Oreochromis niloticus: one gene and its partners. The protein of the gene in region 3 purifies or fractionates together with the protein of the main gene of each other region. This does not show direct contact. Links are inferred from orthologs where the notes say so. Each region holds a gene or a part of one and is shown on either strand. Other genes may lie near its edges.

Region 1 (3,755 bases), on a different chromosome or scaffold from region 3:
TACAGAAAAGCATAAAGTCAAACATGACTTTTAAAAACACCAACGTAGGCTATAAAAAGTAAAAAAACTACATTTTCCGCGAAAATGACGTCACTTCCGGTTTCGGTCAGGTAATGGCGGACATGCGATAGTTCGCGCTGACAAATATATTCCAACTAGGAAGTGTTATGAACAGCTGATCGGATCGGCAAAGCGTGTTTCCGGAATATTGTTTTTGTTGCTGCAAGTCTGGAATATTATGTTTTTGTTGCTGGAAGTGCTTTTTATGCAATTTTTGCAAAGCTATATGTGGAAGGAAACCGTGACCTAGGGCAAGCTAATGGAATAACATGTAAGTACAACTCCTACGGTTTCATATGCAAAAAAAAATTATTGCGCTACCTTACGTGGTTCCAGTTCTACAGGGATTTAAAAATAGTTAGGCAAAACGGAGTGTGCCTGTTCCGACCGGTTGTAAAGGGTTAATGATATATTTTATGTAATAATTTATGAAATTAGGGTTAGAAACGACAGAAACGATAGAAGACAAATGGCACGATAGAAACTTTTCTATCGTCCACACGATATATATCGTCATATCGCACAGCACTAATAGCAGGTCTCAATACCTTCTCTTTCCTTTTACTCTTGCTGTTGTCCATCTATCACAAATAAACCCTGACACTATTCCACCTCTCCTGTACTCCTTTCTTAACTTTTCTTGTGCACTGTGCATTGCTTTTATTTAAACTCATCCATCTTAACTGTTACATCTGTCTCCCTCTTATTCACACACGTATTCTCTCTTGTCTATTGACTTTCACTCCTCTTCTTTCTAGTGCATACCTCAACTTCAGGACCTCTTATACCTGCTCCCTACTGTAACTGCAGGTCAAAATGTCATCTGCGAACATGAAAGTCCACAGAGGCTCCTGCCTGACTTCATCTATCAACCTGTCCATTATCACTGCAAACAAGAAGGAACTCAGACCTGATGCTTGATGTAATCCCACCTCAAACCCATCTGTAACTCCTACTATGGACCTCACGCTAGGGCTGCTCAATTAATCAAATTTTAATCTAGATTACGATCTGGGCTTTCAACGATCATTAAAAATGACTGAGCCGATTATTAGCACCTCCCTCGTGCTTTACTCTCGCGCTGCTCCGTGTGGCAAATCGAGCACACCTCTCTGCGTTTCAAACACGTGTCACAACAATTAAGAAGACCCGAGGGAAGCTCGGAAAGCTAAGCAGAAGTTATTTGGAGAGGAGAGGATAACGGCTGCTGAAGAAAGAATGCCGTTGGTTGAAAAGAGAGGTAAAACGACTTCAGTGGTGTGGAAACATTATGGGTTCGCGGAGTCAGACGTGGATCAAATATTGTGCAGTTTTTTGAAGTTCACTAAACATAGATGTTTACATTTTTCATTTATTTTTTATATTGCAAACATTTGCACTAATCAGTATTTGCACACTATTTTATACTATTTTTTGACAATCTTTAAAGCCATTATTCAATACATTGTTATTGTTAAATAAATATCGTCAAATAATCAAGATCTCAATTTCAGTGAAAATAATCGTGATTATCATTTTTGCCATAATTGAGCAGCCCTACCTCATGCACTGTCCTTATTTTGCACCTTTGTGCAGGACAGCACGCACGGATGAACCAGAGTACACCATCTACAGCTGCATCCAGGACTGTGTTCTGAAGATCAATGAGAACATTTTTGAAACTCCTAACCTTTTGCTGGAAAAGCCGTCCACTGAAGGTTACATTGCTCTAATCCAAGTACCTTCAGTGACTGCTGTTGTGATTTAACGCTATATAAATAAAAGTGAATGGAATGTGAAGAGCTAAATAAATAGTCAACCAAAGACACGCTTTTAAATATTTTTTAAGTCAATACCAGGAAAAAGTTATTAGTCCATCATATTAGTTACTAGGCCCTTGCTAACATATTAAGAAACGTATGCTTTCAAACTTGCTGGTATCAAAAGGCTGAATTATTTTTAAACTGGCTAAAACTGAAATCCACAGTAAAACTAAAAACTACACTCACCAAAAGTGTCACTGAAAGCTGCTGTGATATCAGTGCCATTCCAAAACTTAACTTTTCCAATGATGGTTGTCCACAAAAACATCCATAGGTTTTTCTTTATGGTAAGTATTGGCAAGAATCTCATACACTGAATCTCATACACTAAATCACTATGATAACACTAAAAGATTACTTCAGTTGAATAGTTTCAATTAATATTAACCTACTCATTAAAGTGATTTGAAGCTTCTATCCTCTTCTGAACACCATAAACAGAGTTAGGATGTTCTTTAACACTATTTTCACACCGGCTAAACCGATCAAAGACATACCAAGATAAGAAGACGGCCACATATACATGACACATTCTTTTTATATAACAAGAACTCTTTACATATAGCTGTGTTTCACCACTAGTTTGACCAATATTTGGATGAAATCACATTATCGCTACCGTTAGCTGCCTTGTCAGCTGAGACTAGAGCTAGCAAGCCAGATGAGGTTTAACAGCTTATAAATGTAACTCTCTTACCTCCACTTAGTTTGGGAATTCGGCCAATTTTATTAGTTATTTCTGCTGTAATTGTTCCAAAGTCCTGCTCGTATGCTTCAAAGTCTGAAGACATTCTGGTAGTCGAGTTTACAACAGGTAAGTAGCTTTCTGGTTGACAGTTAGCTCGGAATAACAACAAGCCTCGAATGGAGCTTCTTCCTTGAGTCACAGCATAATGTGCTCGGTAAGGAACTTGACTTTGTTTTCACGTTTTCGACACTGAAAAAGGTTCGAAAGGTGGACAGAAAATGCTATTAATTTCAGCCCGAATTTGAATGCATGAATAATTCTTGTAGTTCTGTGCCGTTTCGGTGATAGACTACTACTTGGATTAAAAGGTATCTACAAGTGGTTCAGGGTAGTAGTTTCTGAGACACCATGAGGAAGGTTCCTCACTGTACACAGGAAAATTTTATGAAAAAAAAATAAGGAAGTGACCAGGTTGGTGATTTAAAGTGACAGCCTTTTGTTTCTATTTATTAAAAACAAAGCATTTGTCATTTAGGTTATCTTTGTTTTCTATTTGCCCCTCGTGGTAAGTGTTCAGCATGCTACGTTATTAGTGTTTATGCTGGTGACTAGGCTAGCTATCTAACGATAACTGCTCAACCCACGGTGCTAACGGAAACACAATTTTAGAGCTAAAGGCATAAACTTATCACTTGTCTGTTTGTTTTTTTAAAGCGGAGTTGTCTAACGCATAGTTTTCTGTCCATTACTGTGCAGTGATGGATAGAAGACTTGCATATAAATCGTAATTATTTTTCTTTTTTTGGCGAGAATTAGCTAGCTTGGTAACACAAGCTAATTAGTCAATGAAGCAAATGCTATGGTTCTGCTTTTAGTATGGTAATTTAATACTAATACAAATCCAGCACTGTCTACGTTAGTGTGGCATGTTTTATTGCCGTTTCTGTACTTGCTTTTAAGTCATTAGCTAAAAATGTTAGTCATGGTTGTTCAGTATTTTTATTGCAACTACCGAGGAGTTGTTTCTTTTTTTAAAGCATGAATAACATCTTTTTCAATAGCAGTATGATCTAAATTGTGTTGTGAAAGAGTATTTTGCACATTTGTCACATTTACATGTTTCAGATAATCAAACAAATCTTAACATTAGACAAAGATAACACGAGTAAATGCAAAATGCAGTTTTTAAAGGATAATTTCATTTA
Region 2 (3,755 bases), on a different chromosome or scaffold from region 3:
CCTTGTCCTTAGGCTCTGGCATTTCTTCTATTCCTCCGCGCTCCTGGTATAGAGAAGGGTCATTAAAGAACAGTTAGCTGCAATCCCTTTGCAGAAACCATTTTCTATTTTTAACAATGTAAAAAAAAAACAAAAAAAAAAAAACAAACCCAACAACCCTCCCCAAAAATACAGGGCCTCCTTGGATAACAGAAAACCACCAAAGCATGATGTTTAAAGACATCATCCCCCCCCGACACACACACACGCACACAAAATAGCGTTGGCATGAACTGCCTACAAGCAGAGCAATTCAAAAAATAAAAAGTATCAGCTGGGTGAACAGTGAAGTCTGCTCATCAATCAAGCATATGCTGCATGTAGCACTACTTTGTTCTCTTGCTTCAAGTCATAGACATTAAATGGGTGCAATTTTGAGATAGAAACTATGATATATCCTGTGATACTGATGCTTAGTTTGTTAAAGAAAAAAAAATGTTAACCTGGTTTAGCGTCAGTTTTAACAAAACCAAAATGTGTCCTTCGGCCCTGAAAACTTCAGGTAGCTATCTCCTGTACTTGTGCTTTGAGACCTCAAAAATGTCAGAGTGACTGTCTGAATATCAAAGGTTCTACTTCTTTTGCAAACCTGTCTCAGGAAAATCTCTAAAGACTCACAGAAGTGCACAGCTAAATTGCAAAAATATCCCTTTATAAGTCTTTGATGAGGCCCGGCCTCTTCATGTTTTATTGGACATGACTATCTCCACATGATTGAGTCTGCAAGTGACAAAGCAGCATATAATGTAAATATGTCCTTTTGACCCGTTTGTAACCACAGTATTTATTTACAAGCCCTTGAGCTGCACCTTGTGGCTGTCAACTGACCACTTTTATACATCTGTGAAGGTCTGCTAAGAGCCTGTGTGCATTCAAGAGAAACGTCAGCTGTTACCTCACATAGCTGTACATGTGATTTCAACGCAGAAATGCTGTGTGCAGTTGGGGGTGTGTCAGTAAACATGCAGGGACCACTCCGTCCCATGAGTCAGCAACAGACTGTAACAAAACTGTCTCTAGGAAACAGGGCAGGTTCTCCTGCGTCATGTGTCTCTCGCCTCTCCTGTTACCCCGCCCTCCCTTCTTTTCCTCCTTTTCCATTCATCCTTTTTCAGAAGAATTTTCTGAAAAAAAACCCAAACTCTGGAGTCATCTTTAATTTTCTTTTTCTTGTTATATCTTCATTACATGTGTTTAATCTCTCTCATTCCTCTGTACCAGTGCTAGGACGTCAGTCACTCAGGCCCACCGAATGGCTGATGCCTATCAAGTATCAATAAACAGAAAGTAAAGTGTCCAAGGCAGCTGCAGAAGGCGGCTACATTAAGAATCCAATTCAAATATTTGATATGTTGTAAGCTGAGTGACTTCAGTCTCTCTTTATAAATTGACAGATAAGGGGTCTTGTAAATATGTGATTGGTGCATGAGGAAAATGATCAAGGAAGTACACCTTAAAATGTTCCAACAGATATTTCCTGTTAAAATGTTTGACTGCAGCTGTAAATCCAAAACATTTATTCAAACACTGAATCCTTACTGCTCACACTGATATAGGCAAATTGGAAACTGCCCTAATCTGTGAGGACACACATTGAGATTTGAATACTACAGGAAGTAAGATTTTCCTGCAGGCTAGAAGGAAACGTTTTTATTTTAGGTCGACAATGTTGAGTCATTACAGATATTTAAAGAACTGCCTGGACGTTCTTAACTGTTCAGCAGAATAAACAGCACTGACTGCCAACAGATTATAATTAGTTCATTATGTGGCCTTTTGTGTTATTAGTTAACAAAAAAAGAAACAAAAAAAGTCTTCATAGCAGCCATTTCTACATTAAAGTAGGCAAAGAAATATGTTGCAAGGCACGCGCGCGCGCGCGCACACACACATATACATATGCCTCTTTTGTGCCAACATTAAATAATGTTAAAACATGACAGCAGTAAACCTAATTTAGCACGTAATAAACGCCACTTCAGCTGCTCTACCTGTAAAAGTTTATTTTTCCCCTTTACTAATAAAATAATTGTAATAATAATAATAATAATAATTTTAAAAAGTGTTGCCCAGTGGATAATATCTATTTTGTAAGGTAAGTTAGCATTAAACTGCTACTTGCTCAAGCAGAGCTTGGCTACAGGCGAATGGCTCCACCAACGACCTGTGAAACATTCTTCAAATACGTGAAAAACAACCGTTTATCAGTTAGTAACATGTATTATAAATAGATAGTAGTAAATGGAAACATTTACTTGAAGTATGCGGCTTTATTTTATGGAAAACAAACGCATCTCAACTTTACAAAAATCATTTCCAACACGTACTGAGTACTGTGTGTAATTAGGCCATTTTTTTTAAGCTGCTTTACTTACTGCTTTACTCCCTCAAAAATGAAAAAGTTAGTGCGCCGACTTAAGTTATTTTCAGTCGAGGTAGGTTTCAAGTTAAGTACAAGTTGATTTATGTGGAAGAACACCTGTTTGAGACTGTCGCTGAACAAACTGGTGACGGCGGGGAGGCTTTCTGAACAACATAAACAAAGGTCATTATCACCTACCGGATCAGTGTCCATCTTGCTGGAAAAAATGTCCTCTATCCGCAAACCGAAGGATCTACTTTCTTTAAAAGTTGACGATTTGATTTAAAACCTTTTAAAACCAGTTTAAAGTCTCGAAGCAAATACGTTTCTCCCTGTTTTACTTCCTGGTTGTTTTTTTCCTCCCTTAATTGCCTTCTTCCAACTGTTAAGTGAACGACAACTCCGTTTCCGCCCTTTGGTTTCCAAAATAAAGCAACCTAACGTTTTAGGCTACAGTGGTTGGGTAAACATTAAAGAAAAAAAGTTTATATAAACAAATATGTCTCCTTTAATTTTTACACAGTAATATTCGTCATTATATTTTATATACTCGTATTCAGATATTGATTTTCACTACCTGTAAAAGTACTGTAATGATTTTGAAGCGAATCAAACTTTCATTGTAGACCTACGTGCTTTTATTTTGCAGGTGCATACGTTTACTTCCTTTATTGTCTCCAAAAACACCTGTAGGCGGCAGTCCCTCTTCTATTGTTAAAGAAGGCGTCATACCAAGATGTACCCATGATATGCTGGCGGTGAAACTTTCCGAGAACTTTGTGTTCAGGATGGCTGACAAACTTGCTTTCTAACTTAGCATAACTGTAAAGTAACCCAATGCATTTTTGATAGTAAACGAGGATGTACATATTTGTATACGGGGTTTTTTTTTTAAGTTTCAAGGGGGACAACAGTGAAACTGGAGAGCAGCACTCTTAAAGATTAGCAGCAGTGGCCTCAGCTCAGTTACTCCTCCCTCTCCTGGTGTCACAAATTTCAGCCAGCTAGCAGCTTGAGCCCTGACAAACCGGTTTCTTTGTCTGGTGAAACTGGTGACGAAGATTGAATATTGGTCATTGCATGCCCTTATGTCATGACTGCTGCAAGCTGCTTTGAATCAGAAGCAGCTAAAAATAATCAAAGGCATTACGTCAATTTGGGAAAACTGTTTGAAAGTCATTGTTTAAGTGTGCTGAAATACTGCCTGTTCATTCTCAAAGAACAAAAAATGTGGGGTAGCATGTTTTGGAATTAATTTCTCCATCAGATTTTAGAAAAAAAGCTTTTATTTCTGTTCACAATGTACATTTTTTGTGTGCTGTTGAGTAGTTAAATTAGCTACACACAGGATATG
Region 3 (3,755 bases):
CTAAATAGCAATGGCCAAAATATCATTGGGAATTTAAAATATGGAATCCATGACATCCATGTATATCTTTTATATACAGTGGTGGTATCTGGCTCTTTCCTTAACTAGCAGAATACACTGTGTAAGTATACAGTATAGAGTACACTATGCTCAATTGCTAGTAATAAACTTGCTCTTTCTGTCTTCATCATTTGTGCGTGAGTACGTGCCAAATGTGTAATCAACAGTGCAAAGCAAGCAAATCCATTAATGAAAAAGAATTAGCTATGAAGTTAAGCGCCCTGTCAAAATGGTAGGCACACAGACTTCCCTCCGAGTGACAGCACCAGGGGAGGTCATACAGGATGTACAAAGACTCGCTGAAAGTTAGTGACCGGTGACATATCATCAAAGCAGAGACTAGGGCCTGTGACCTCTCAGGTCAAGAACACAGACAAGAGAATGAGGATTCATTATTTTTAATTGGGGCAACCAGAGGTGGAAATTGTACTAAAAAAAATTCTCAAAGAGGACAAGTTACAAAATGAAAGGCAGTGTGATCTGAGCAGGATGCTCATCAATCAGTGATGCTTGGTTTGCTTCTCCTGACACTGACCGAGAAGTGACAGAAATTAACGGTGAGCAAATATTCCAAAGTGGGCGTAGAAGTAAAGAAACTACTACGTCAAGCACTACTGTGATCAAAATATGTTAAGATAAAATGAAATCTTTGAAAGTGGGACAATCTGTGATTAGTGATATTTGCACATATTCCTTTTCTTAACACTTTATCCCATTTATAATAACCTAACATGCCTAATGTTACCTGGAGGGTTCAGACTCTGTAATATCGCCCTTGAAAGTTGCATTTAGCTGCTTCTCTCTGGTTAGCAGGTCATCAATGAGGTTCTGCCTTCTGTCAGCTTCGGGCTGCATTCTGATGAGGCCATGATAAGGTTACACAAAACATTCACAATGCTTTAACCACTTTTGATGAGCAGGGACAACTTATGTTTCTAAAACTTAAGCATGTTGCATTAGTAAGGTCACTTTCTAAACACTCTAATGCCCCCTATTGGAACACCTCTGCCAATGTAAGCAAAGTGGGCTTTTCACACTTCTAAACTAAAGGATACATGCGGCGAGATGAGGATGCCCGCAACAAGCCCTCCTTGAGCTGAGCGATATTTTGTTTCAGCTTCTGAAGTGAAGCCCGTAGCGTCATGTTTATCTGAAAAGACAGAAGATTAGCTCGCTAATACAAAAGGAATGTGAAGGCAATACTACTGTAATTGTAAGAGGCTACCTTTGCAGGGTTCCCCCCCGTTCTCTGTTGTCTGTTCCGTTCATGGATGTTTTCAGCTATTTCCTGTGCCAAGCGGCAAGTGGCATCATAATTTTGTAACCTGCAAATGAAAAATGAGAATTAAAATGCCATGTAACTTGAACTGCAACATCATCAAGTAGCCAAAGATGAAGTAGTAAAACTAAGATTCAGTGCATGAATCTGCATTCTAATATAATGATGGATAATATTTTCATACATTTAATTTTTATAATACTTTTCATTACAAGTAAACTTGGTGTGTTTAACATAAAAGATAAAAAAGATTATGTTTTGTGTCATAGTTGTATTACTCCAAAACCAAAATGAATTTAACCTTTCCATCAACATTCTCACAGTGTAATAAATGTTGCTTGGCTGAGAAGTCATTCGCAAATCGTTTTGGGTCCCTGCATCAGTATTGCACAGAATTCTTTTCCGCGCACTAGACTAAAAAGATGTTACCTTTTACACAAATGGAAGAACTGCATATGCGTATAACAGATACTCAGGAGACGCGGGCCGTTCCATCAGTGATAAATACCTCTACTTTTGACTTGACACAAAAGGATGTGGAATTTTGCATATTTGTCACACTCAAGTTTCAGATCCCTAAACAGATGCACCGTATTTTAGTTTTGGGCAACTTCTTGTCTGAACTTTGTTTCTGTGTAGGTTGTAGCAAGCGAAAGATAAATAAATAAATCAAATTTCTAAAACTTGAAATATATGTTTTGAAAACCCACAATGATCATGAAAATAATGATTAACGCATAAAACTATGCAAACTGAAAATTAACTTATTGAACAACGGATCAAGTGAACGACTTTAGATGGTGTATTGCCTAATCGAAAGCATGAGCTACATGGCTATCAGAATAATTGTTATTTAATATTATTATTTAGTATTACTGTAGCCAAATTGGGGTAAAGCGTCAGAAACATAGCACAAGCTTTGGTTTTATCTTGTGACATTTTTAGCATTCCTCTTCCCCCATTCTCTAACGCTATTTGATTTGCTGTTATAAGTAGACCCAACAACAACAACAACAACAACAACAACAACGACGACGACAACAACGACAACAAATTGTTTTGAAATCCGAATCCAAAACCACCAAGCTACTTCCCGACACACGAAGCGGTTACTTTCTAATCACTAAACAAAAATACATGTTATTTTATTTGGCTAATCATCATAGCTACCACTTTCGCTAGCTAGATTCAAAGTAGTTACAAGGCGTAGAAATAATATTTGTTGTCCTTAAAAATACATCTGAGTCATTTTACTTTTCCATTCAAGACAATGACTTACCAGGCATCCTGAGACATTATGCTAAAAGTCAGCTATTAAGCCAAGTTTGAACCAACTATCCGGCTGTAATCACTAGCAGCCTGTTTCTTGTTTTGACAAGACGTCACTACGGTAGGCGACAGAGACAAACTTCCCACGACCTCTACAGAGCGCGCATTGTAATAACATAATGCTGCCCTCTGTGGGTTAGGATTTGCTGTTAATTTTTGACTCACGGGTCAGTTAAAGTGTAGAAATTTCAGGGCTGCTCGACTAACTAGTTGAGGATTTCACACGGAAAAAAACACTTCAGGCAGAAATAAAGACTCATGGGAAAGCCTTAGACGTGGATGACCTACAGTAAGATATAATTTAATATAATTATTAGATGTGATCTCAATTTTCCAAATTAAAAAAAAACATCTGGATGTGTGCCTATGACTTTTAGAGTGAGCTGCCTCGGCCTAGTCAAAACAACATTATGTTTCTCACCAGCCTCTCTCTCCTTTGACTAAGTGCCTATTCCTCTTTCCAACGTTTCCCTGTTGAATCTCTGTTTTTTCCTTGCAAGTGCTGATTGATTCACTATTGTTCTAGTAGAGTTCTCAGTTAATCATAGCTTCCTTGACAGAAATGCCTTATCCAACTTATCATAAATGTAGTAGTTCTTTTATTCATTAGAACAATAGAACAGATCATTGTGTTTATAATCTATCAGACTAGATCCAGCTGCTTTATTACAAAAGAGGAGTGAAATCCTTATTCTTACTTATAAATTCCCAATAATCCTCAAAAAGACACTCCAAAGAAGCTGCATGTAGGAAGACTTAAATTGAGCTTGAACAATAGGAGATAGCCTTTTTTTTTTACATGTATTAAAGTGATACCATTTAAAAAGTTGTGCTGAAAGGAATATATCTTACATTCTTAACATCCAAACAATACTTAGATGCTGACTCATACATTATACCCATATTATATAAAGACTATTATCATGGCTTGATAAATCATATTTAAGATGTCTCTATCAGTTCCCCATTAATTATTTAATGAAGAAAATAGTTGTTTTAATTCATTCATTTATTTTTATTTAGCTTTTCATACAGTCAAACACCAAGAAATGGGAAGATCTTGACACAGCAACAATATATAAAGATT

The links.
Region 1: the proteins of stx8 (region 3) and vti1a purify together in Homo sapiens (affinity purification with mass spectrometry; 3 studies listed by BioGRID and IntAct, with this or other methods). This does not show direct contact. The link is inferred for Oreochromis niloticus from reciprocal best matches to the Homo sapiens genes STX8 and VTI1A.
Region 2: the proteins of stx8 (region 3) and vamp8 purify together in Homo sapiens (co-immunoprecipitation; 5 studies listed by BioGRID and IntAct, with this or other methods). This does not show direct contact. The link is inferred for Oreochromis niloticus from reciprocal best matches to the Homo sapiens genes STX8 and VAMP8.

The regions. Positions count from the first base shown.
Region 1 is NC_031973.2:13,245,469-13,249,223, reverse strand, and holds the start of vti1a (vesicle transport through interaction with t-SNAREs homolog 1A), read right to left. Parts: upstream 2,694-3,755; 5' UTR 2,654-2,693; coding exon 2,560-2,653; intron 1-2,559. UniProt on the Homo sapiens protein: V-SNARE that mediates vesicle transport pathways through interactions with t-SNAREs on the target membrane. These interactions are proposed to mediate aspects of the specificity of vesicle trafficking and to promote fusion of the lipid bilayers.
Region 2 is NC_031977.2:6,109,827-6,113,581, reverse strand, and holds the start of vamp8 (vesicle-associated membrane protein 8), read right to left. Parts: upstream 2,805-3,755; 5' UTR 2,615-2,804; coding exon 2,600-2,614; intron 44-2,599; coding exon 1-43. UniProt on the Homo sapiens protein: SNAREs, soluble N-ethylmaleimide-sensitive factor-attachment protein receptors, are essential proteins for fusion of cellular membranes.
Region 3 is NC_031971.2:26,236,380-26,240,134, reverse strand, and holds the start of stx8 (syntaxin-8), read right to left. Parts: upstream 2,775-3,755; 5' UTR 2,636-2,774; coding exon 2,619-2,635; intron 1,386-2,618; coding exon 1,286-1,385; intron 1,211-1,285; coding exon 1,116-1,210; intron 917-1,115; coding exon 806-916; intron 1-805. Other genes in the region: TBC1 domain family member 24, read left to right, coding at 2,948-2,957. UniProt on the Homo sapiens protein: Vesicle trafficking protein that functions in the early secretory pathway, possibly by mediating retrograde transport from cis-Golgi membranes to the ER.